Macaca mulatta: one gene and its partner. Each later gene encodes a partner of the first gene's protein in a complex. Links are inferred from orthologs where the notes say so. Each region holds a gene or a part of one and is shown on either strand. Other genes may lie near its edges. The genes, in order: OS9 and UBE2J1.

The links.
Region 2: OS9 (region 1) and UBE2J1 share a complex: the UniProt entries of both Homo sapiens proteins name them as parts of the HRD1 complex. The link is inferred for Macaca mulatta from reciprocal best matches to the Homo sapiens genes OS9 and UBE2J1.

The regions. Positions count from the first base shown.
Region 1 is NC_133416.1:64,895,753-64,898,909, reverse strand, and holds part of OS9 (protein OS-9 precursor), read right to left. Parts: coding exon of another isoform or gene 3,101-3,157; coding exon 3,000-3,100; intron 2,820-2,999; coding exon 2,768-2,819; intron 1,661-2,767; coding exon 1,572-1,660; intron 1,379-1,571; coding exon 1,100-1,378; intron 532-1,099; coding exon 342-531; intron 1-341. UniProt on the Homo sapiens protein: Lectin component of the HRD1 complex, which functions in endoplasmic reticulum (ER) quality control and ER-associated degradation (ERAD).
Region 2 is NC_133409.1:96,648,256-96,652,079, reverse strand, and holds part of UBE2J1 (ubiquitin-conjugating enzyme E2 J1), read right to left. Parts: intron 3,227-3,824; coding exon 3,095-3,226; intron 1,000-3,094; coding exon 915-999; intron 764-914; coding exon 658-763; intron 1-657. UniProt on the Homo sapiens protein: Catalyzes the covalent attachment of ubiquitin to other proteins. Functions in the selective degradation of misfolded membrane proteins from the endoplasmic reticulum (ERAD) and is essential for cells to recover from ER stress.

The DNA of each region.
Region 1 (3,157 bases):
TAGATGTGTGGTTTTCACATATAGACTCGCAAGCATTCAATTACTACCTACTGATCATCCATTGTGTGCCAGGCAGAGTGCTAGGTACTGGGTGTACAGGAGCAAACCAGAAAACAGGCAGACATGCTCTAAAAGCTGCTTCCCAGAGGGATGAATAGGAGGTAAGCACGCAAAGGGATGATGGTGATGGGAAGCAGGTGCAAGTGAGGACAGTGTTCCAGAAACCGGGGAGAGAATAAGCACCCTCAGAAGGGAAGGAACAGGGTCCCCTCTGGGAATAGGACCAGCTGAGGGATGAAAACAACGGACTGGGCTACTCCTTCTTGTCTGACTGCTCTCACCTGTAGGTTGGGGTGATGGAGGAGGTTTTTTGGGGACAACCCTCTTTTTCTTGTGCTTCTTCACCAGCTCTGGACTCTGTTTTTCCTCCAGTCTTTTGATGAGTTTGTTGAGAGTGGATGTCAGAGCCAGCATTGCCCGATCCCGCTCTGACTCCTTCTTCAGTCCATCTGGGTCCAGCTCCTTCTCGGTCTGGAATACCCAAGAGAAGAGAGTGAGTCAAGGGTCTGGGGCGTGGAGGCAGCCAGCGGGCTGGGCTGTGTAGGAGAGTCTGATATTTTGAAATGGAGTTTTGCTCATCACCCAGGCTGGAGTACAGTGGTGCCATCTCGGCTCACTGCAACCTCCGCCTCCCGGGTTCAAGAGATTCTCTTGCCTCAGCCTTCCAAGGAGCTGGGATTACAGGTGCCCATTGCCATGCCTGGCTAAGTTTTTTGCATTTTTAGTAGAGAGGGTTCACCATGTTGGCCAGGCTGGTCTTGAACTCCTGACCTCAGGTGATCTGCTCGCCTCGGCCTCCCAAAGTGCTGGGATTACAGCGTGAGCCACTGTGCCTGGCCAGAGAGTCTGATATTTAAGTCTTGTGCCTCTCTCTGGTCCCCCTTCCCCAATAGCCCCGATTAATTAGGGAAACAGCTATCATTTCCAAGTGCCCCGTCCTTGCCCTGTGCTGTGCTCTCTGTTTCTTTTAGTCCCTCAGCCTGTCCTGCTTCACGGGACCAGGCGGCTGTGGAATTACAGGAGGAGGAGCTGGGCTTGCCTCCTGGATGATGTTCTCCAGTTCCCGCTCCATGCCAGCCTTCACCTCCGAACGGAGCCGGTCTCGGTCTGACGGAAGCAGGATCCCTTCCAGTTCCTTCTCAAATTCTCCCAGTAACTGCTGTTCATCCTCATCTTCATCCTCATCCTCATCCTCGTCCTCCTCTTCTTCCATTTCTCTCTGCCGTTCTGGATCACCCCTTTCCTTCTCCTCTGGTTCCCTCTGAGGGACTTCTGCAGCATCATCCACAGGCTGCTCTTGGCCTATATTTGGCTTCCCCTGGGTGGGTAGGGAGTGGGGAGAAAGAGGTAGACAGTTGGAGTTTCAACAGAGACACATGGTGGGGGGCAGACAAATAGTAGCAGGTGTGTGGTACTGGGGGACCCAGGAGTTGAGTCCCAGGTCAGCGTAGGTTTTCAAATGCTCGCAGTTGGGAGGTGGGTTCTACCCATTCCCTGAGCATGGCCTATACCTTTTTTGTTCCACCTTTCAGCTCCTCTATGAATCGAATCAAATCTGCAGGGCTTCGAATGACTTTGACCTGCACGTTGTTCTGAAAATCTGAGATGAAAGAGTAATAATCATGAACCAGTTCTGTTGTGTTTAAATTTTTTTTTTTTTTTTTGAGACGGAGTCTTGCACTGTCACCCAAGCTAGAGTGCAGTGGTGCAATCTCTGCTCGCTGCAACCTCTGCCACCCGGGTTCAAGCGATTCTCCTGCCTCAGCCTCCCAAGTAGCTGGGATTACAGGCGCCTGCCACCACGCCCAGCTAATTTTTGTATTTTTAGTGGAGATGGGGTTTCACTATGTTGGCCAGGTTTGTCTCAAACTCTTGACCTCAGGTGATCCACCTGCCTCAGCCTCCCAAAGTGCTGGGATTACAGGCATGAGCCATCGCACCCGGCTCTTTTTCAACATGGAGTGTTACTATGTTGCCCAAGCTGATCTTGAATTCTTGGGCTCAAGCAATCTTTCTGCATCAGCCTTCCAAGTAACTACGATTACAGGTGTGCGCTACTGCACTCCTAAGTGCTCTTTGGATTCCTAAGGACAGGTAATGAGAGACCAAGGAAGGACACGGTCCCTGCCTCTAGGGTTTACCTGTTAAATAGTGAGACAAGGGCAAACATTCGTCTGCAGAGAGCACTGTTCTAAGGTGGACACTCCGGTAGGAGAGATGGATGCCAACAAGCTGCTAAGTCCCCACTCTTCCATGCACTTCTGAGGCCTTTCTGGCAGTCACTCCAGCTTTTAGGACTACAGAGGAGATCCTGGGGCTAAGGACTTATCTTCCCTGGAACCCTTCTCCTCTTTCCACAAATATTAACCATTTAGTTTATTCAGTTCCAGGCCTTCTACTATGAATTATGGATGCATTCTCATTTAATCCCGTGCAACTCTCTAGGGTAGGGGTTATTACCCTCATTTTATGGGTAAGAAAATTGAGGTTAAGTGAATTACAAAGTCACCAAGTGGTGGAGCTACTGTGTTCTGCCACCTTGCTAAAATAGCAGTGCTGTCTACAAAGAGTATTAACTCCTGTAAAAATGAATTTGCTGCTGGCCTGGCTACTCAATCTCCCTCCCAGTGCTTAGCTCTCCCTTCCATCTCTATCCCTGCCAATCCTAAAATATATATGGTAAAGGAGACATGGAAGGTTCACTCACCATTGGGAGCACCTGGAGCTGAATCTGTTGCCTCAGGGCTTGGGTCCTGCTCCTGACAAGGAGAAAAGGAAAGAGTCAAGTATGAAAGCCTGTTCATGCCCTCCATACTATGAAGGCAAAGGTTCTGGGGATATCCTTGCATCCCTAGGTAGATGTAGGTCACCTCACAATGACCTCAGCTACAGTGACCCTCCCCATTCCCATCCCGCTCCTCTGAGGCAGCTGGTCTCACCTCAGCCTGCATCTCCTCCCCTCCTGGGGCCTGGTCCTCTGGTTCATTAAGCATCTTCCAGAAATCTGAGTCCTTACTGTCATCCTTGGTCGGGCTCGCACCTAGGGTACAGAGAACAGGGAGACATTGATCTGACAGGAGGGGTGAGACAGAAAGGA
Region 2 (3,824 bases), on another chromosome or scaffold:
GGCAGCAGACTCCAGAGCAGAAAAATTATCAACATCAAAAATTAGGTATCAGCGCTACTCAAAGAGGGGCTACTCTGAACGGAAGGACCGATCTTGGTTATATAGACAAAAATACACCTGCACCTGAAAAAAACAGAGAAGGCAGCACTTCTCTGTTTGTGATTGCCCCTGGGCAATCACAACTTGATAGAGAAAATCTCTTTTGCTTTATTCCAGATCACTTATTAAGCACTTGCTATGAGCTAGATGCAAAGATGGATAAAGTGGATTCTCTCCCGGCCCTCAAGGGGTTTGTAATCTTGTGGAAAGCTACAAATAATTGCTCTGGTTCTTTTCCATCTGTAATTCCATATAAGTGGAAACAAATGACTGGTATTGTTTTCCAGGAGAATATATCTCCCACTGTATTAAAAAAAAAATAGTGAAATAGTATCAACGACTTTTTAAGACTAGATAGCATTAAATAAATTACTTAGATTCTGGTCACTCCAAGGAAATTATTACAACTGAATTTCTAAAAGAGCAAAACTGAGATAAGATCCTGTAGCTACAGTCGCTCAGAAAGTAAGTCACATAGTAAGAGGCAGGCCCTACCTCCTAATAGCCATTACCCTGAATACCATTCAGACCTCAACAAGAATGAAACGCAAAACTTACTTTTTGGCAAGTGCTCTTCTTTCCTCAGGAGTGTAATCTAGAGAACCTATGGCTCCCTCTCCTTTTGTTGGCATAAACCCAATGATGGCTAATAATGCTGTCCTTACTGAAATAAAAAAGTAAATATCAATCTAAATTGCTTTGTAAAAGCAACTGGGTTTATTCTGGAAAAAGAAAAAAAAGAGAGTATTATACTTCATAACTATGAATTGACTGAAGTTATAAGAGATTTATATTCACTATAAATTAACACTTACTACTCCACGAAGGCTGCCAAGTTTCAGGATGATGTCCTGAGATGCTCAAACAGATTTTCTTGCCCACTTCAAATCGTCCATTAGCCTGAGGAATAAACAATACATCTAGAAAATTAAATACATGTGTTTAATGTTTATACTTTCTAAGTAAAAATATACTATTTATATATAATAATTTTAGAAATTATCTTAAAAAGATTTTTTAAAAAAATGTAACCTCTAATGGGGCACAGATTTTTTTGTCCTTATAGACTCCAAAAATACTTGTTGGATGCTGAATAATAAAAGCTGTTGTTAGAAGGTGTTTTACAGCACCTTTTGAAACTGAGTTGCACAACTGAAATCTAAATAATTAACACATAAAGTTTTACTGGCCAGCGAAGTGGCTCACGCTTGTAATCTCAGCACTCTGGGAGGCTGAGGCGAGAGGATCACTTCAGGCCAGGAGTTCAAGACCAGTTTGAGCCACCTAGTGAGACACTGTCTACAGAAAAAGAAAAAAAAAAAAGAAAGAAAATTAGCCAGGAGTGGTGGCGTGTGCCTCTAGTCCTACCTACTTGGGAGGCTAAGACAGGAAGACTCCTTGAGCCCAGGAGTTCAAGGCCACAGTGAACCATGACTGCATTGCTGCATGCCAGCCTAGGTGACAGTGTGAGACCCTGTCCCCAAGAAAAGAAAAGAAAAAAAAAAAAAAAAAGAAGAAGAGAGGAGTATCAGCTAATACTTGTTAAGCAGCTTCTATATGTCAGGTACTTTATGGTGTGATTACAATTACCAAACACAAAATTCCTTTTGACTGATGAGAAAACTGAATTTTAAAGACATTATGTAACCCACCCATAGTGTAATGGAAAGAGCACCAGTCAGAATCTAGGCCTACTGGCTCTTAAACAAATGCTCTCTCTGTTATACAAAATAGAGGTAAAAGTAGCATTAATTTGGTATTTATTGACGAATACCTGTTGTTTCACCATTTGCTACTCCATGTGGGTCAGATGTTTAACTTAGATAGAACAGGATGAAGACTGAGAAGAAGCAGTGAGATTTCTCAAACTAATCTCTGAGACTGGTGTAGTTTCATGTTTCAACAGGGCACTATGTGTGGAAGGTGGACTGCAGCAGGCTACACTAGAGAAAGGATGCCTTGGAGGTTACCAAAGAGAAAAATAGGCACAGCTTAAAGTGGTAACAGATACAGGGGAAGGTTTTTGTGTTTGTTTTTGCTTCTTTCAAGGTTAGGGGATAATTAAACATAGTTAAAATTAAAGGAAATGAGAGAAGAAAAGCGTAACAATTGAAGAGGAATTAGATCAATAGTTTTCCTTGGCCAGGTATGATGGTGACTAGCACTTTGGGAGGCTGAGACGGGAGGATTGCCTGAGGCCAGTAGTTCAAGACCAATGAGACCATGTCTCTACCAAAAAGCTTTTTAATTAGCTGGGCACAGTGGCATGTGCCTATAGTCCCAGCTACTCAGGAGGCTGAGGTGGGAGGATTGCTTGAGCCCAGGAGTTTGAGGCTACAGTGAGCTATGTTGGGCCACTGCGCTCCAGCCTGGGCAACAGAGCAAGACCGTGTCTCTAAAAAAAAAAAATTTTTTCCTTCACATGAAGAAAAGACATGTAAAGTTGGAGAGAAAGAGAGAAATTCTGAGATATAAATAGTAATAATAATGCTAACACTTATTGAATACTCTGTGTCAGACTCTATTCTAAGAGCTATACAATAAGATATTGATACTTTTCATCCCACATAAACTCAGTGAGGTAGGTATCATTATTCTCTTTGTAAAGATGAGAAAACTGAGGAAGAGAGTGTAAGAAAGGTGGGAAGTTGAAAGAGACAATGTGATTACAAGGCACAATAACATTAGCTAACCTTTAGTGAGTACTTATGAAGTGCCAGATGTGTATGCCCAGCGCTTTTCATATATTAATTCATTGAATCCTAACAACCATGATGTGACATTTATGCATTCAGTTGTATCATTTTTACTTCTCGGATGCATCAGCTTCCTAGGAATTATTTTGGAGGAAAAAAATTGTAGTCCCAGGGCCTGGACCCCCAAAAGCAAAATTATACTGTTCTAATATTTCTTAATGAAAATGATTTGCTTACTATATTTTGCACCTACTAGGAAGAGTTAAGTCATGAGCATTCTAAAAATCCAAAATTCTTACCGTTAGGAGAATAATGCTTGGTGGTTTCATGGGATACTCTGGTGGCAGTACTATCCGCCCATGATAAACTCCTCCATCAAAATCGGAGTCTGGAGGCCCTCTAACCGTGAAGTGCCATTCAAAAAGGTTATCCTGAACAAAAACAATAATCCACAAGGAATTAATAATATTAAAAAGTTTGATCATTTTATCTCAATATCAGAAATATTACCAAGCAAGAAAAACTAAATGCTTTATATTATTGCTAGTATAGTTTCTAATGTATGAGATGTCTTGAGAATGTAAGTGATAAATTAAATTTATAAGTGAAAGCTACTTAATCTAGCTTTCATGTTCCATTGAGCTAAAATCTTTTATAATAAACACATTAAAAATTTCTGTTATATATTCATAACTTACAGGTTTAAATTAGAAATTAATCCTTAAAAGAATAGCAAATTATTATAATTATATAATCAAAAAATTACTATGTTTGGGTTATTTTAACAAATCTTTAAAAATTAATCCTTATAGATACCTAAGAGCTTATTTATAAAATGGTAATATTAATATATTTAATGTCATCTTACAGTTAATATGTACTTTTCAGTATACAAAATACTTGCACTGAAGTTATATTTTTATTCCCACTGTTACCATGAAAACCTGCCTGAGTATATTTAAATGCCCTCCTTTTACAATGAGAAGACTGAGAGAGGTAGAGATGCTTGTACAAAAAGCCTTGAGTAGC